Macaca mulatta: one gene and its partners. The main gene of each other region encodes a partner of the protein of the gene in region 3 in a complex. Links are inferred from orthologs where the notes say so. Each region holds a gene or a part of one and is shown on either strand. Other genes may lie near its edges. The genes, in order: NRIP1, MED1, PPARG, NFKBIB and CREBBP.

Region 1 (3,516 bases), on a different chromosome or scaffold from region 3:
GTTAAGCAAAAATTAGTATGCATATTTAAACATCACCAGTAACCAATACTTTTCAAAATGAAAAAAGTTTCAATTATACCATGCTTTTCTCAAATCATGCTCTTATTTATACAGATCTCAAGTTCATACTCATTATGTTTTAAAAAGATCCCAAACTGGATGGCAGGTACATTTTATTCTGATTCTTTTTTTATTGTTAGCACGTTTCCCAGAAGTCCATAAACTTCTCCGTTTGCACTGTGTGGGCGAGAAGCATTATTTCCCATATGGCTATTGTAAGGGCTTCTTAAGTTAAAGAAAGCAGCTCTCGTTTCTGCAGTAGGAAGTAACTCTTCTTTGATTGTGACCTGTGAGACACTTTCAGCAGATGAAGGCTCCCTCCAAATGTCCTTGTCTTGTGTTTCTCGACTGGTAACAGAATTGCCTCCTTTCTGCAGCATATAATACAGTATGGGGTTGGTTTTGGTCAGTCTCGGAGAGTCTTTTTCGTATTCATTCTTCTCCACATCAGTGATAACCCACTTAATGGGTCCTTTCTCACTGGGCATGGAACACCCATTCAAAAGCCCAGATTCTGGTCTAGACCCTGCACAGCCCAAGTGCTCAGGGAAAGTAGGACTCACAGGAGTTTTTACTACTCCTGGGTATGAAAATGTCCTGTTATCCATGCAACTGCTGGGCTGAGTGGGGCTGTACATCAGTCCATTTAAAGAAGAAATGCTAAATTCAGGTTTGCTGTTGGTCACATTATTTTTGTGTCCTTTCTTTTTACTGTCAGCAACAGAGTTACTTCTGTGCGGGGACAAATCTCGCACACAGTTTTCTGAGAGAAGCAGCTGTTTCAGAACATTGAAGCTTTTGCTCTCTCTGGCCCAACTCCTGTGTTCACTTTCGCTGGCTGAGCCATGACCAGCAGGATATTTAAACTCAAGATCATTTCTGCTAAATTTCAGCTCTTCCTGGTTAAGCAAGGACCCATACAGTACTTCTGGGGCACTGTGATTGTTCGCAGCATCGACAACGTTGTTTTTCATCTTTTTAAATGGATTTTCTAATGGCTCAGTATAAAGCTTCCTTTTCTTAGGGACCATGCACAGATTCTTTGATTCTAGAAGTGCCATTTCATTACTTCTGTGACTCTTGTCTGAATCATCTGCCAGGTAACTATCTGGATTTTGTCTTAGCAATCGACTTAAGAGACCATTCTTTGAGAAAGAAAAATCCTGAGGTGAAACAGGCTCCGATTTAAAGTCTTCGGACACTGGTAAGGCAGGTGCGCTTCTCTGCACAGCAGGAGCCATACCCAAGAATGGAGCACTCTTGGCATCATGGCTCAAGTGCACATTTGTATTAGGAATTTGTAAGTCATCACAAGGCTCAGATTTTATTTTCACCATCAATATTTGTTCACTTAAAGCTCTCTCTGAGTGTTCCTGAGTACTTTCATCTCTTAAGGGAGTTTTCTCTTTCTTTTCATTTTTGCCTTTGTTGGGGTTTCCCAGGAGCAACTGGAGGACGGTACGTCTTTCAAGCAGATTTTCTATTTCAGAACCGGAAAGCCCCGGTTCAGGACCTGTTGGTTGACTACTAAATGCTTGACTTTCTTCAGCTGCATTCGTTTTATTTGAGAGCAAAGGGCTATTTAATCTATCAATCACACCTATCGGTTTATCTGTGTTTACAGTTAACAGCTGTTTGCTGGGTCTCTGCTCTTCCACTGACATGGAAGACTGCAGGCCACATTGTGCTAAATTTTGTAACAGCTTACTGGCACTGAAAGTTGCAGAGTTTTGTGCACCTTCGTTTTGGGCTGGTTTCTCTCCTGGCGTGTCTTTGCTTTTTGTAAGGTCCATTGAGTGGTTAGATGCAGTCTTTTCAGACTGAGTACTGCAGGCATACGGTGGGGAATTCCATTTGATGACCAGAGAGTGTTGAGAGAGATTGATGGGAGACTCTGCTTTGGCTGACGTAAGTAATGGTGGAGTGCTCACTGGCGTAGTCCGATTTGTACTGGGGCTTTCTATCACAGAAGTCCTTGCATAATTTTGTGTACTGAACTTGGTCACATCATTGTGTACTCCCTGAGGGCTGGTGTTTTTTTCTACATTTTCTTCATTCTTATGGCCAAGTAGCAATTGAAGAAGTGTTACTTTCTGGTGTGAGTTTAGCTTAGAATTCTTTGAGGTATCTTGATCTTCTTTGATATCTACGTCTGGGACTTTTGGATCCCAAGTGTTTAGCAAGGATTGAGTAAAGTTATCCAGGGAAACAGGCTGGTCAGATTCGGATTTTTCAGTTCGGTGTTTGCAAGACAAGTCTATGGGAACACAGCTGGAGTAAGAACTTTCATCACCACTGCTGTCATCTGTAAAACTAGGATTGTTATCTGAATATTCATCAATAGTTGTAGGTGTACTACTTTCCTCAAAAATGCTTCCTCTCTCACTGTGACTGTGTCCATTCATTGGCTTAGGTATAGTCTGGCTTTTAAGAAGATGTAAAAGCAAACTATTGTTAGCAGCTTGTTTGATATTGTTTCTTTCCAGTGAGTTCTTATAACCTGCATTTTTAGGGGAAGAAGGAATGATACCCATTGGATTTTGAAACGTTGTAGCACTACTTTTGCTAGCCATCAGTTTGCTTGATGATGTTCTAGCCTGACCATTAAGATGGCTTGACATGGCTTTGGAGAGCTGGAAACTGCCAACATCCTTCTGGCCATTTTCTTGCAATCTGGCCATAGCAGCAAGTCTTTCACTTGCTGCTTGATTTGCATTTTGTGTTTTTAAAGCATGTTCTCGAGAATACTGCTGCAAATGGGCTTCGCTTGACAGAAGTAATGCTAACTGGCTACAAGCAACACTAGGTTTAGGTGAGGTGGCAGGACTAGCCCTTTTTTCTACCATGCTTGCAACAGCCTGTAATCTTGCAGCACATGACAACGGTTCACTCATGACCTTTGTTCCACTTTGTCCAACGTGATGAGGAGATTCTACAAACCTATCTCTGATGAGGTTTTTAGTCACATCAGGAAGATTTGTATCAGGCTTTTGATCTTTAACTTTACTTTTCTTCAACAAAGTTTTTAAGTGACTTGATGCAACACCATAGCACCTTAAATCCTTCTCCACTTTTAAAGAATCATGACTGAGGGCATATCCTTGCTCCTTGAGGCTCTGCCTAATTTGTTGTGACAGAGCAACAGTCTGCAGCCTAGAGCTGAATGACTGAAGCAAAGAGGCCAGTAATGTGCTATCCTGTTTGCCTTTAGGCACACTGTCAACCATGCCAGCTAGCAAAGCTTCCTTCTTTACGTTTAAATTTACGATAGAATCAGACAGCCTCTTCCGCTTTGCTGCATTCCAGTCCTCAGAAGACTGCAACAGTCTGGCTTTTTTGAGGTGCAGCATGCCAGATCCCTGATATGTATGTGTATTGAAAACTGGACCATTACTTTGACAGGTGGGAAATGCACTGCCAGAAATGTTAAAGTTCTGATCCTCTTCATTATTCCCA
Region 2 (2,538 bases), on a different chromosome or scaffold from region 3:
AATCAGGGCCACATCCATAAGATCATCATCTTCCTCCCCAATCATAAAGTCTGGGCTGAGCCTTGAGGGTCTATCTGCAGATAAGATTGTGTTACTTGTCATAGACAAGGACTGGTCTGAAGAGATGGGTGATTTGGACCAACTCTCTGGCTTGATGCTATGAGATTTTTTCTTGTCTCGGTCTTTGTCCCGGTCTCGGTCCCTATCTTTGTCTTTTACTTTCTTCTTTTCCTTTTTGTGCTTCTTATGTTTCTCTGTGCTGTATTCAGGAAGTGGTCGGATACCATCATCTGAGCTGGGACTATTCTGATAAGATTTCTCTGCTATGGAGGAGCCTGACTCACTTTCACTGTCCAGATTCTGGGGGGTATATGCTGGTGACTTACTATGGCTAGGAGAGCCACGCTCATGCTTTGGAGTGGAACCACTGATGAGTGGAGAGCCATAGTTTTTAGAAGAAGCCATCTGAGGCCTAAGCCCTTCTCCACTACTTTCCCCAGGTTTCTGCAAAGTCACTTTGGCTTTAATGCTGGGGGAGCCTCCATCATGCTTACTGATGATAATTTTTGCCACACCTGTGCTCCCCACATTTTTTGACTCTGAGGTCTTCTTAGAAGAATCCACTGAACTCCCAGAGGTGGAAACCTTTGATTTGTCTTTATCACTTTTCTCACGCTTGCCCTGAAACTCTCCTCCTGACATGTTATGTTTAGAGGACATAGGATGGCTGGAAGAATTTGTGCTCACCCCCATCTGGCCGTCCAGTGGGTCTTCACCCCCAGGGCCACTGGTGACAACCCCATGCTTCAGTTTATCTATGACAGCTGTCAAGGACGGCTTCTTATTTCTGCTGGGAGATTTTCCTTTGGAACTCCCATGCTGGTTTTGAGAGGATGACATGGAAGAGCCACTTGAGGAAAAGGAGGAGGAAGATGCTGTACAAGAATTAGATGATGGGGGAGTTTTCTGGGACAACGAGCCTGAGGATCCTAACCCTGAAGATGACTTCATGCCAGAGCTTGAACTAGTTCCAGACATATGAGAACCACCAGAACCTGAACTGATAGGGGACTTGGCTTTAGAGGATGGAGGAGTTCCAGGAACAGGCTTCATTGGAGAGGCAAGCTTGTCAGAGCCTCCAGGTGGCCTTGAATGAGAAGGGGATATGTTTGGTTTACTTAAAGAAGGATTCATAAGTGATGATGGCTTTCCTTGAGGTTTCATCTTGGTGCTGCTAGAGCCACTGCTCAGTCCATGCTTGGTAATGGGAGAGGAGCCTGGCTTCCCCCCAGACTGGGATGAATTTTTGGACTGGCTAGATCCAGAAGACCCCTGGCTAGCATACATACTGCTGCTTAACTTGGAACTTGATGAGCCTTCTGATTTACTGCTTTTCATCTTCCCTGAGGTGGAAGCAGAAGATGAGGAAGAAGAGGAAGAATGGCTATGGTGGCTTTTGCTGCCTGAGGAAGACACAGAACCACTGCTGGTATACTGACTGTGAGAGGAAGGCTTGCCCACCATCACTGTTCCCTTAGGAATCTGAATAGTGATTTTGGGAATGGGTGGTGTGGCAACACCTGGGGGAGTCTGAGATCTTCCTGAACTGCCTGGAGATTTAGATCCACCTGTACTGGTAGGTGGGGTAAAAGGTCGGTTAGAAGAACTATGAGATGGAGACTTTCCCTCAGTGTCTGCTTTCTTCCTCTTTGGAGGCTTATCTTTGCTTTTCCCATCATTAGAAGGGGTCCGACTGCGTTTCCCTGGTTTGCTGTCTAATCCTGGCCCCGCGAGAGTACTATTACTGGTGCCATTGCCTTCCTTTACCCTCTTTTGAGTCTTTTCTTTCCCTAAGTCCCCAGTGGTCATTAAAGGTCCCTGACTACCACTGTGATGCTCCATAAGATCTGCAGGACCTAAAGCTTTGCCGGCTACTGATATAATACTGAAATCAACTGTGTCAGCTTGGTTATTGGCCTTAAACTTGGTCTCCCCATTATCACCTCCAAGCATTGGCACCCCCAAAGTATTTAGTGCCTGAGATGCAAATCCTTTGAAATCATCATTATCCCCACTTTGGCTGCTTTCATCAAAATATTCTTCTCCAAAACCACTTTGGCTCTGGCTGTTCAATAAATCAGGATTGAAATCTACTCCATCATGAAAAAAATGATTGGTAGGAGAGTCACTACTGGGGCTTCCAGCAGCATCTGCAATAAGATCAGCTGGATCAGTGTATGGATTTTCATTATTGTTAGTTTGAAAGACATCAGAGTCAAAGAGGGTACTCTGAGAATGCCCAGAGCTTGAAGAATCTCGAAGAGGGGTGCCAATAGCTGGGCAATCATCACTAGTGCTGGGAAGTTTAGAAGCTTCTTCTGCAATGTCTGAAAGGATGTCAGTTACATCTGGGCCAATGCTGTCTGAACTGGATAGTCGGACCATCCTTTGAATACTGGGTTGGGGGTGAGGTACTGGTTGTGGGTAAGTTGTTGGGGGAGTGCTACACTGGCTTGGAGCTGGAGTGATGTGTGGTGT
Region 3 (4,201 bases):
ATCAATCACTCACTCCTATCTCAGGAGAGACTCATTTTGACGGATTGTCTATTGCAGCATTTATCATGTCTCTAAGGCATATTTCCATTGCTCAATCAGCTCCAAAGGACAAGTGTGTCATCATCTTTCAAGGCTCTGGTGCAACAACTTAAAATTGTAGAATTCACACAGGACTAAGTCTGGCACTCAAAGCAGGAGGCATATTCAGCTTGAGCTTGTGGAAGCTTCCCTTCAATCTCGCCAATTTTTACTGGTGGAAATGGTTTCAGAGCCAGCATGAGGTTACTTGGGGTTGCTTGAGGAGCTCTTGATAAAAAAAAGAAAGGGGAGCAATATAAAGGGGTTACAGCAACGATGGAGCCTTGGAAAAAGCATGGAAGTCCTCTTTGGGCATAAAGTGTAGTGGATATTTTTAATCTCTCTTTTTTTTTTTTTTTTGAGACGGAGTCTCGCTCTGTCGCCCAGGCTGGAGTGCAGTGGCCGGATCTCGGCTCACTGCAAGCTCCGCCTCCCGGGTTTACGCCATTCTCCTGCCTCAGCCTCCCGAGTAGCTGGGACTACAGGCGCCCGCCACCTCGCCCGGCTAGTTTTTTGTATTTTTTAGTAGAGACGGGGTTTCACCATGTTAGCCAGGATGGTCTCGATCTCCTGACCTCGTGATCTGCCCGTCTCGGCCTCCCAAAGTGCTGGGATTACAGGTTTGAGCCACCGCGCCTGGCCTAATCTCTTGAATATAACCAATATACCTGGATATCTGGGTCATTCACACGAAATGTGCCACTTTTTCTTAATAGCAGTACCCAACTATTTGCAACACTCCCAATTTCACTTTGCCTATGATCAGGAAGAAGCACGTAAGAGGACTACTGTACCCAGGCCAAATACCTCATCTCCCCAGTGTTCAACACTGCTAGCCTCGGCTAATAATGATCATATATCTAATTTATTTGTAAGTCTGTCTGTTTTGGAAGAGGTGGAGCAATTATTTAAAGGTCATTTACAAATTACAGTAGGAGTAACAATCATAGGTCTTTGGCCTTTAGGAACTCACATTTTTAACAGAGAAACAGTGCTTATGAAGAAGGAGTAGCCAGAGACCCTGTAAGAAAAGGGTTAAATTATTGGTACAAAATATCATGTTTTAATTGCTAATAATTTCATTCTGTACCATGTTAATTAGGAAGAAAAGTACTGGATCATTCTTTTAGAGGAAATTGAGACTCAAAAAAATTAAACTCAGGGTAAATTCAAAGCATAAAGTTAGAGATTAGCACAGAATGAAAACTAACTTGAATCACATAACCATCCCTTACCACAAATAGTACTTGCCTCTCAGTTAACCTATTTTGTTGATATTTGTTGTACTGCATTCTAGACATGTTCTTTGAAAATAGACAAAACTATCAAATTTTGACTCAAGAACTATTTCACAGTATAGCCAGGACATTCTGCCCTGAGGCAGGGTAAATTAATAACTGAAGAAAGATAGCAACAATGTTTTTGGCTTGCAGAAAAACAGAATAACAGCACTTTAAGGAAAAAAACAAAACTCCTAGTTAAGAGGCTTAGATGATAGAAATACATGTTGAAACAAATTACTGTAATAAAATAAAACAGTATTTCAGGAAACATTTCTTACTAATTTTTAAAAAGCTTTATATTTTTAAAATGATGACTAATATGTTCAAACTTCAGGCTTCCAGGAAAACGAAAAGGTTAAAATCTATTTCAGCAATTAAGTGACTTAATTTTAATGCTTTAGCACCTATATTATAAAACATGAATCACACTAGTTAACAATCTATTTTTACATAGCATCTGAGAAGAGAAAAATAAAATGAATAGAAATAAAGACATCAATATGAGACAAAACAAAACAGAAAAAGCGGTGCTAAGAAACTCCAGTAGAAGGAGCTGTAGAAATGGAGAAATTACATTTTGCAATGGCCAAGAAAGAAATATTGAAAAGGAGGTATCTGATTCTGACACATCTGAAGAGAAGTAATAGGTAGTCACTTACAATAGGCATTTACTGTTTGAGGAACCTCATTTTCTTTATGCATAAAATATGATGCTTGGAACAGATCTTTTTCAAGGTTCCGACAATCCATTCTGCAATGTATTGGGCACTATGCTAGGAGGCATCCTCAGAAATCTAATAAAGAGCATCACTTGGTCCCATACTCTGGTAAATTACAATTCTTTGGGAGAGCTAAAGTGCCCACACAGTATCTAGATTTCAAAGTAGAACAGAAAAGAACTGAGAGTACTTCAAGAGGAACAAAAGCGCTGCAAGAGGGAAAAAAACCATTATGAGAGATCTCTAACATACAAGATGAAAAGAGGAAAAAGTGACCCTTCAAGTCTAAAAAGCCTTTATGTATTCTTGGGAAATCTATGCAAACTCAGGAAATAAAAATGAACAGGATTGTTTTTGGATATAACTATACCGTTAGTGCTTAAAATTCAGGAAATGGGAGCCATGCACAGAGATAAAATACAGATTAGGTTAGGTTTCCTTTTTTAAGGATCTGAATATGTTTTTAAGTGAATGCGATAGCAGCGAGCTAAGCATTAAAATACTGGAGTGTACACATGATAGTATTAAAACAAACATAACTTGGAAGACAAACTACAAGAGCAATTTTACCCTTACATAAATGCCCCCACGTCCCCAATAGCCATATCTGGAAGGAACTTTACCTTGTGATATGTTTGCAGACAGTGTATCAGTGAAGGAATCGCTTTCTGGGTCAATAGGAGAATCTCCCAGAGTTTCACCCATAACAGCATGGAATAGGGGTTTGCTGTAATTCACACTGATATTTTGTTTATATCTAGCAAAAGATCAATCCGTTAAAAGAAAAAGACTTGAAGTAACAGAATTTGTGAATACACCCATGAGTCAAGACATCAGTTTCCAAATATTTGGGAGAGATGGGAATAAACACAGAAAGGACTGGGCTTGAATTGGCTGGCACTGTCCTGTTAGGAGCCAGCTGTGACAAAAAGTTGTGTCATAATGTTGTTCACTGCTTTGGCAAGACTTGGTACATTACAGGGAAAATATTGCCACACTGTCTCGCCAGTGACCCACATGTTCAGTGTCTTGTGAGGGGCGTGAACTATACTGTATTTAGAATTATCAGAGCAGAGACTGTTCAATATCCACTTGCATTTTTAACTGTCGTAAAATTCACATCAATTCCTTCTTAAATGGAAAACTTCAAATCTCTTGCTTATGAAATACCAGAAAGCTTATTTGGGCAAAGTTTTCTTTCAATGTCTATTCCTGGTTGAATCTCTAATCATGTGATTTGAAGAAAATTTTGGAATTCAAATACATATCCATAGTTTAAACGTTGGTATTAGCATGCTACCGAAATGTTATATTCCTAAGGTACTTGTTCTGCTGATTTGTGAAGCCCAAAATGATATTGACTGCTATCCAAATTCTGTAAAATTAAATAGTTCAGAGAATGAAGAAGGGTTTGATATGGTTTCGATTTAAATATCGGGTTTGCTTTCTTAAAAACTTCAGCTTATCCATCAATAGCAACTACAGCAATGTTACATCAGCTGATGTTTGAACATCAATTGATGTTTAAATGATAAGTGCTATGTCATAATGAAAAAATGGAGTTCTCTGTGAGAAGAGTAACACATCACCAGAAAAAAATAGACTTACGCTGTTAGGTTGGCGAGGAATTGTGGTCGGTTTTGTAATCAGGAAAAAGCTGGCTTCTTGCTCAAGGCCTTTGCCCTTTTTGGCAAGGAGAGACACTAGCTGTGCCAAATTACTGATGTGGGAGCAGGTCTTGTCACATGAGTGGCCTACTAGAATCACAGTGACTTTGCGGACTTTCAAAGATGTCCCCACACAGGGCAGTATATGAGAAGGCAATTAATTCTCTGAATTATATTTATCCTGATATTCCCTGAGTAAAATAAATATATATCTGGTTAATCTACATTGAGTAACTATTCATTCTTCAAGGGGACTAGTAAAAGTGTCCCTGTCAATCATGGTGCAAGAGCTTGATGGGGAAATGCTGGCTGGCTCTGAACAGCACAGAATAAAGTGGGGAGTTGGGCAACTGTGCCATTAAGCCCCAAAACATCTTTATTAAAGCAATCCAAGTTAAAGCAAAACTTGGGTTTGCTAATTTGTCCAAATGACTGCAGTGATTACGGTTGTGTA
Region 4 (4,111 bases), on a different chromosome or scaffold from region 3:
AATACAAATATTTTTAGGCCGGGTGTGGTGGCTCACACCTGTAATCCCACCACGTTGGGAGGCCGAGGTGGGTGGATCACTTTAAGTCAGGAGTTCCAGACCAGCCTGGCCAACATGGTGAAATCCCATCTCTGCTAAAAGCACAAAAATTAGCCGGATGTGGTGGTGCATGCCTGTAATCCCTGCTACGCGGAAGGCTGAAACATGAGAATTGCTTGAACCTGGGAGGCAGAGGTTGCAGCAAGCTGAGATCATTCCACTGTACTACAGCTTTGGTGACAGAGCAAGACTCCAGTCTCAAAAAAAAAAGAAAAAGAAAAAAAATACTGAATTAGGCCGGGTGTGGTGGCTCATGCCTGTAATCCCAGCACTTTGGGAGGCCAAGGTGGGCAGATCATTTGAGGTAAGGAGTTTGAGACCAGCCTGGCCAACATGGTGAAACCCTGTCTCTACCAAAAAAATTACAAAACTTATCCGGGGGTGGTGGCACCCCCCTGTAATCCCAACTACTCGGGAGGCTGAGGCAAGAGAATCACTTGAACCCAGGAGGACAAGGTTGCAGTGAACGGAAACTGTGCCACTGCACTCCAGCCTGGGGAACAGAGTGGACTCCAACTCAAAAAAATAATAAAGCATACTGAATTAAATGAAAATAAAAACACAACATACCAGAATTTGAGAGATATTGCTAAAACAATATTGCTAAACAATAGTCAGGAGCAAATTTATAGCACTCAATACCTATACTGGAAAAGAGGAAAAAAGAAAGGTCTCAAATCAATGATCTCAACTTTCACCTTAAGAAACTACAAAAAGAAGAACAAATTAAAGCCAAAGTAAGCAGAAGAATGAACATAATAAAAGTCAGAACAGCCTGGCATGGTGGCTCATGCCTGCAATCCCAGCACTTTGGGAGGCTGAGGCAGGCAGATCACGGGGTCAGGAGTTTGAGACCAGCCTGGCCAACATGGTGAAACCCCATCTCTACTAAAAACACAAAAATTAGCCAGGCATGGTGGTGGGCACCTGTAATCCCAGCTACTGGGGAGGTTGAGGCAGGAGAATTGCTTGAACCCAGGAGATGGAGGTTGCAGTGAGTCAACATGGTGCCACTGCACTCCAGCCTGGGCGACAGAGTGAAACTCCATTTCAAAAAACAAAACAAAACAAAACAAAAAAACCGGCCGGGCGCGGTGGCTCAAGCCTGTAATCCCAGCACTTTGGGAGGCCGAGATGGCGGATCACGAGGTCAGGAGATCGAAACCATCCTGGCTAACACAGTGAAACCCTGTCTCTACTAAAAAAAAAAAAAACTAGCCAGGCGAGGTGGCGGGCACCTGTAGTCCCAGCTACTCGGGAGGCTGAGGCAGGAGAATGGCTTAAACCCGGCAGGCGGAGCTTGCAGTGAGCTGAGATCCGGCCACTGCACTCCAGCCTGGGCGACAGAGCGAGACTCTGTCTCAAAAAAAAAGCCAGGACAGAGACTAATTATATAAAAAGTAAAAAAAAAAAAAAAAAAAAAAGAAACCAAAATTAAGTAATGAAATGTAATGAAAATTAACAAGATTATAAAGCTGGTTCTTTGAAAAGATAAATATTTCTTCAGTGCCTCCTGGGTCAGGCACTGCTTGCATCACTGGGCATACAGCAGAAAACACAACAGACAAAAAACCCAGTACAGTCCCTCATCTGGGCTTTGCAACTGCAGTTCCTTCTCCCTGAAATGCTCTTATCCTGTTTATCTATTGCCTCATTTTCCTGCTTTATTTTTCTCCAAAGTACTTACTACCTCTGACTTTATTTCCTTCTCTTACTTTCTATGTTTCTTTCTTTCTGCGTGTCTTTCTTTGTTTCTTCCTGTCTTTCTGTTTCTTTCCTTCCTTGCGGTCTTATCTGTTTATTTAGTTCCACTAAAATGTATGCTCCACAAGCGCTTAAGTTTTTGTCTGTTTTCTCCACTGCCTTTATCACTAGCACCTAAAACGGAGCCTGGAATGTTGTACTGTGTAAAGAATATTTGTTTAACAGATGGATCCTTGGTCTCGTGGAGCTTACATTCTTTTTTTCTATTTTCCTTTTTTTTTTTTTTTTACTTTAATTAGGAATTCAACATAGAAGAGCTTACATTCTCTCTCTTTGAATTTAAGATTTGAAGAACACTGCTCAGATGACAGGATCTTAGAGTAAGGGACCAAGCATTAATTTTGGAAATCAAACTTTAAGGCTCAAATCAGGAACTAAGAATCAAAGATCATATTTGGAGGTTAGAAGTCAGGAGAAGCCACAGTTCTAACAAAAGTCTCAGGACTGGAGTCAGGTTTGGGTATCAGTGGATACAACGTGGATTCCAGGAGCTGAGAATCATAGTTCAGGAAAAGGTCAGAAATGATTGGGTGAGGATCATAGCTGGAAAGAAGATTGGTTTTGTTAAAAGTTAGGACTCGGGGGTTAGAGGTCAGGAAGTTCAGCATCGGAAGTCAGATTTAGGAGTGTGAGGTTAGGAAGCCTCAGGGATCAGACACTAATGGGGAATCAGATGCCGGGTCCTAAGGCTCCGTTTGGCAGCCTAAAGTTCACTCACGTGTCCCCATCCTCAGTGACGTAGCCGAAGACGAGGGGAGCCCACGACAGCCCCGGGCCCAGCTCCGCGCCCAATCCCGGTCCTCCGGGGGCCGCTGCGTCCGGACCCAGGGAGCCGAGGCCGCTGTCGCACCATTCATCTGCGTCGGCAGCTTTTCCCAAGCACGCGACCCCAGCCATGGCCCCCGCCACCTCAGGGGCCCCTCGCAGTGGCCCGCCTGTAGCTGGGCTTTGCCGGGAGTTCTGGCGCTTCCGCCCTGCGGGAAATTCCCCACCACGCCCCCTGATTCATCCAATGATAATATGCTGAATCGCTCACACCCCGCCCCCGTGCCGCATGCTGACCAATCAGAGTATTCGAGAGGACTACGACTCTCTAGCCGTTCCCACATTTTCCGGGCGCCCTTTACCAACATGGCTGCTGACGCCATGACTTCTGGGACTCGTAGTCCGGTCCTCGCGCGCTTTCTTACCTAACTGGGGCGCTCCGGGTGTCGTAGGAAAGCGCGTCTGCGGCCGCAATGTCTGCTGGGAGTTGTAGTTCAGTGCCCTATCCCGGCCACTCCCATTTCTGGTGCCGTCACGGGACAGAGCAGTCGGTGACAGGACAGAGCCGTCGGTGACGGGACACAGTGGTCGGTGACGGGACAGAGCGGTCGGTGACAGCCTCGAGGGCTTCAGCACCGCGCCCATGGCAGAGCCGGACCGTGAGTCGGGAATCCGGGTGGGAGGGTCGGGCCGCGCCGGGGCCTGATTGAAGGCTGCAGGCCCCGGGGCCCAAGGGCGGCCGCAGTGGGGCGGGAAGTAGGGAGCGCCTCGGGGAGTGGGGTTCTGAGGGTTGTTGCTAAGCGATCTATATCGCCAGGCTGGTGGGTTTCTGGGTCGCAGGGTGTTCAGGGTTCGTTTACCACATCCACTTGCCAAGTTGCCAATGATCGCGTGTTTCTCACACCTTGGTTGCTAAGGACCCTCGCTGCAAAGAACATAAGTTGCCCCGGTCCCGGCTGCTAAGGGTACCTGATTGTTAGAGGCAACCAGAGGATGCTGAGGGACCCCTGCTGTCCCCTTCTATGGCTTCCCCTTGTTCCGCGCCTCTCCTAAACCTACCGCCTCCACTGCACCACTGCACCTCCCTCCTAAACCTGCCTCCCAGCCAAAGCGTCCCTTCCCTTCTCTCTTCCTTTCTAAACTTCCCTCTGCCTTGTAAATCTAACCCTTCCCGCACACACACTGACACACTGTCGTGTCCTTCCTAACTCCTCCTGAGTGTTCCTTCATGCCCTGAATCCCTTAGGTAGGAGGAGGAGGATCGCTTGAGCCCAGGAGTTTGAGGCTGCAGTGAGCTATGATCGCACCATTGCACTCCAGCCTGGGTGACATGAGCGAGACCCTTTCTCTAAAAAGTAAAAAAGAAAGAAAGTAAGTCAGGGCCAGACACAATGGCTCATGCTTGTAACCCCAGTACTTTGAGAGGCCAAGGTGGTTGGATCGCTTGAGCCCAGGAGTTCAAGATCAGCCTGGGCAAAAGCCC
Region 5 (3,516 bases), on a different chromosome or scaffold from region 3:
GGCCGAAAAAATATTCTTGACGAGGTGGTAAGAAGTATTCCTTGTATTAAAGCTCAGCCTTTGGTACATCTTTTTTTTTTTTTTTTTGAGACGGAGTCTCACTCTGTCGCCCAGGCTGGACTGCAGTGGCGCGATCTCGGCTCACCGCAAGCTCTGCCTCCCGGGTTCATGCCATTCTCCTGCTTCAGTCTCCCGAGTAGCTGGGACTACAAGTGCCCGCCACCATGCCTGGCTAATTTTTTATATTTTGTTTAGTAGAGACGGGGTTTTACCGTGTTAGCCAGGATGGTCTTGATCTCCTGACCTCGTGATCTGCCCGCCTCGGCCTCCCAAAATGCTGGGATTACAGGCTTGAGCCACTGCGCCTGGCCTCCTGGTACATGTCTTTTAGTCTGTGTGATGAAATATTCAGTGTATCTCATCACACAGAATAAAAGATGTGTGCTGCATATGCACAGTGGCCACATTAGGAGGCAGTACTTGTGCACGTGTCAGAATTTACAGCTGAAGTAGCTGCTTGCCCTCATGGACCCCTTAAAACTTTCAAGAATGACTGAGAGATAAGCTATAGTTACTAACTCTAGTTATATGTCAGACATTTTCTCAGAAATGAACAAAGAGGGACAGTTACTTCAAGGACAACTGACAATATTTGTTGCCAATGATAAAATCTGGACTTTCATTAAAAAATCAAATGTTTTGGAAAACTTGTACACGGGCTTGAAATCGTCTCAAAATTTATTATTACTATTACTTTTTGAGACAGGGCCTCACTCTGTCACCCAGGCTGGAGTACAGCGGCATGATCATGGCTCACTGCATCCTTGACCTCCCAGGCTCAGGTGATTCTCCCACTTCAACATCTTGAGTAGCTGCAGCTACAGGCATGCACTACCCATGCCCAGCTTTTTTTTTTTTTTTTTTTAATAGAGATTAGGTTTCGCCATGTTGCCTAGGCTGGTCTTGAACTCCTGAGCTCTAGGCTAGAGTGCAGTGGTACAATCATAGACCCTGAATTCCTGGGCTCAAGCAAACTTTCCCCCTCAGCCTCCCAAAATGCTGAGATTACAGGCGTGAGCCACCACGCACGCCCTGCTTTTCAAAGTTGTTAAGACTTGTTTGAAGAGACTGATGGTGGTATTAACAAATGTGATTTTTTTTTGACACGGTATAGTGAAATATGTTAACATATGGAAAATCTGCAGAACTTAGTGTCAATTGAAAAAAAAATAATGCAAGCACAAACCATCCATTCCAAGTACAAGATGGATCAATGGATTCTAATGTCATAGAGTATGAAATATCCAGTGCTACAGATTCTGGTTCAATGTCGTAACTAACCTTTAAGAAACTTTCACTGGTTTAATTTTGGTATAGTATCAAAGACTAACCACAATCAGCTGAAAAGGCTATGAAAATACTTCTCCCTTTACCAACTACAGGATTTTCTTCACACACTTCAACCAAAATAACCAATCACAACACAGTAAATGCAGAGGCAGATGCCCTTAATAACATCATTATTCTTATTTTTGTTTTGGAAAAATTATTTTTCATATAAATGTTTTCTATGGGTGCCATGTAACAGACTATTTTATTTTATTTTATTTATTTATTTTTTTTGAGACGGAGTCTAGCTCTGTTGCCCAGGCTGGAGTGCAGTGGCCGGATCTCAGCTCACTGCAAGCCCCGCCTCCCGGGTTCACGCCATTCTCCTGCCTCAGCCTCCCGAGTAGCTGGGAGTACAGGCGCCCGCCACCTCGCCCGGCTAATTTTTTTTTTTTTTGTATTTTAGTAGAGACGGGGTTTCACCGTGTTAGCCAGGATGGTCTCGATCTCCTGAACTCGTGATCCGCCCGTCTCGGCCTCCCAAAGTGCTGGGATTACAGGCTTGAGCCACCGCGCCCGGCCAACAGACTATTTTAAATGAACTAAATATTTAAAAATTTTTCTCTTTTTTTTGAGACAACAATCTTACTTTGTCTCCTAGGCTAGAGTGCAGTGATGTGATCTGGGCTCACTGTAGCCTCAAACTTATAGGCTCAGGCGATCCTGCTGCTTCCGCTGTAGCGTGCACCACCACACTTAGCTAATTTTATTTTAGTTTTGTAGAGATGGAGTCTTGCTATGTTGCTCAGGCTGGTTTTGAAATCCCGGCATAAGCAAACCTCTCATCAAGGCCTCCCAAAGTGCTGGGATTACAGGTGTGAGCCCTGTACTCAAATTTCTCAATTTTAATTTCCAATAGAGTAAGCAATGATAGGTAATCCACACAAACAACAACTCTCTGGGGCCCTCAATTTCTAAGAGCATAAAAAGCCCTAAGATTCACTGTACTCCACACTCTCGAGGGTCCCCTTCCAGCTGCAGAGTAACATGGTCTCAGTCTCTAACATTTCTCTGCAATCTTTCCCAAAAGTGTCATCTGCAGCCTTGGACTTTCTGAGTCCCAACTCCCATTTCTAAGGTTCACTTGACAATTTTCTGATACCCTGTTATCTCTTTACTTTGGATACATCTCAAATGGATTCCATCCAACTTCCACTGTGAGGCGGGCTTATCCCACACATCTCAGACCCCAAAGCTGCCTAACCTACCCCTCCCCATGTCTCCCTACATGGGGTCCCTAGGCACCACCCTGCCCCTCACTCTGCATGCTCAGCTTCCTCACTGCACCAGCAGAAAACTGCCTCCAGCTCACCCCTGTGCTGTCATAATGATCATTTTCCTTAAATTATGGCTTTTTTGGTTATTTTCCCACTCACATACATCACTGGTTCTTTACACTTTTATGAGTAAAGCCAAGCTCCTTAGCCTGCTCAAGGACCCAGACACATTTCAACCCTGGCCCCTGCCAGCATCATCTCAGAAGACAGCTCTGCAGCCAGGGTGGCCTCAGAGTCATAGCTCATCTCTCACTCCTACCATGAGCCCCACAGGCACAGGGCTGGGGTCCTGCTCAGCCTCAGTGTTTCTGCAAGGGAAAGTCTGTGGAATGGCAGGCAAGAAAGGTAAAAGGGCAGATAGAATTACGTTTCTACTTTAGCTTCTAATCCTCCACGTGGAATCCCAACACCGTGGAAAAGCAGCATGGTTTAATAAGGTAATGAATAAACAGCCTACTTTTTTTGCGTGGCTGCGAAGGAGATGTTGACTGAGAGGCTGTGCCGTTAGTGCTACTCTCTTCTTCCTCTTTAACTTCTACTTTCACTTCAGGTTTCTTTTCATCCACTTCCATTGGTTCTGATTTCTGCTCTGCTGTGTCTGTTTCTTCTTTAACTTGGGAAGCTCCTTGCAAATCCTCCTCCATCATCTTGAGAAAAACATTATAGATAACACACAAATATTAAACACCTTTATGTTACCTCAGCCTCACTGGAAGGCTCTTACAAGCCTAAGATGGGTTTGTTAAAACCTTCCTCTAGTCAGAGTTGCATTTGTGATTCCTCTTCTCTTTCAGAAGAAGAAATAAAGTACTTGGTGTTCATTAAGTCACTTCAATACAGAGTCAGTGCA

What was found.
Region 1: the proteins of PPARG (region 3) and NRIP1 are in contact, whole or in part, in a crystal structure (PDB 9CWN), measured with the Homo sapiens proteins. The link is inferred for Macaca mulatta from reciprocal best matches to the Homo sapiens genes PPARG and NRIP1. Residues at the interface, in NP_056953.2 of Homo sapiens: Val321, Gln322, Thr325, Lys329, Phe334, Leu339, Gln342, Val343, Leu346, Lys347, Pro495, Leu496, Glu499, Ile500, Lys502; in NP_001426204.1 of Homo sapiens: Ser130, Thr131, Leu132, Leu133, Ala134, Leu136, Leu137, Ser139.
Region 2: the proteins of PPARG (region 3) and MED1 are in contact, whole or in part, in a crystal structure (PDB 6ONJ), measured with the Homo sapiens proteins. The link is inferred for Macaca mulatta from reciprocal best matches to the Homo sapiens genes PPARG and MED1. Residues at the interface, in NP_056953.2 of Homo sapiens: Val321, Gln322, Thr325, Glu326, Lys329, Phe334, Leu339, Asn340, Asp341, Gln342, Val343, Thr344, Leu346, Lys347, Gly427, Leu429, His494, Pro495, Leu496, Glu499, Ile500, Lys502; in NP_004765.2 of Homo sapiens: Asn638, Thr639, Asn641, His642, Pro643, Met644, Leu645, Met646, Leu648, Leu649, Lys650, Asp651.
Region 4: the proteins of PPARG (region 3) and NFKBIB are in contact, whole or in part, in a crystal structure (PDB 9CK0), measured with the Homo sapiens proteins. The link is inferred for Macaca mulatta from reciprocal best matches to the Homo sapiens genes PPARG and NFKBIB. Residues at the interface, in NP_056953.2 of Homo sapiens: Gln322, Thr325, Lys329, Phe334, Leu339, Gln342, Val343, Leu346, Lys347, Leu496, Glu499, Ile500; in NP_002494.2 of Homo sapiens: Asn286, Pro287, Ile288, Leu289, Ala290, Leu292, Leu293, Arg294, Ala295.
Region 5: the proteins of PPARG (region 3) and CREBBP are in contact, whole or in part, in a crystal structure (PDB 7RLE), measured with the Homo sapiens proteins. The link is inferred for Macaca mulatta from reciprocal best matches to the Homo sapiens genes PPARG and CREBBP. Residues at the interface, in NP_056953.2 of Homo sapiens: Val321, Gln322, Thr325, Glu326, Lys329, Phe334, Val335, Leu339, Asn340, Gln342, Val343, Thr344, Leu346, Lys347, Leu496, Glu499, Ile500, Lys502; in NP_004371.2 of Homo sapiens: Asp62, Ala63, Ala64, Lys66, His67, Lys68, Gln69, Leu70, Ser71, Leu73, Leu74, Arg75.

What each region holds. Positions count from the first base shown.
Region 1 is NC_133408.1:32,765,205-32,768,720, reverse strand, and holds part of NRIP1 (nuclear receptor-interacting protein 1), read right to left. Parts: coding exon 174-3,516; 3' UTR 1-173. UniProt on the Homo sapiens protein: Modulates transcriptional activation by steroid receptors such as NR3C1, NR3C2 and ESR1. Also modulates transcriptional repression by nuclear hormone receptors.
Region 2 is NC_133421.1:63,743,822-63,746,359, forward strand, and holds part of MED1 (mediator of RNA polymerase II transcription subunit 1), read right to left. Parts: coding exon 1-2,538. UniProt on the Homo sapiens protein: Component of the Mediator complex, a coactivator involved in the regulated transcription of nearly all RNA polymerase II-dependent genes.
Region 3 is NC_133407.1:151,165,099-151,169,299, reverse strand, and holds the start of PPARG (peroxisome proliferator-activated receptor gamma), read right to left. Parts: upstream 2,810-4,201; 5' UTR 2,786-2,809; coding exon 2,704-2,785; intron 1-2,703. UniProt on the Homo sapiens protein: Nuclear receptor that binds peroxisome proliferators such as hypolipidemic drugs and fatty acids.
Region 4 is NC_133424.1:49,994,389-49,998,499, reverse strand, and holds the start of NFKBIB (NF-kappa-B inhibitor beta), read right to left. Parts: upstream 2,810-4,111; 5' UTR 2,761-2,809; coding exon 2,582-2,760; intron 1-2,581. Other genes in the region: SIRT2 (NAD-dependent protein deacetylase sirtuin-2), read left to right, coding at 3,272-3,287. UniProt on the Homo sapiens protein: Inhibits NF-kappa-B by complexing with and trapping it in the cytoplasm.
Region 5 is NC_133425.1:4,988,599-4,992,114, forward strand, and holds part of CREBBP (CREB-binding protein), read right to left. Parts: intron 3,314-3,516; coding exon 3,124-3,313; intron 1-3,123. UniProt on the Homo sapiens protein: Acetylates histones, giving a specific tag for transcriptional activation. Mediates acetylation of histone H3 at 'Lys-18' and 'Lys-27' (H3K18ac and H3K27ac, respectively).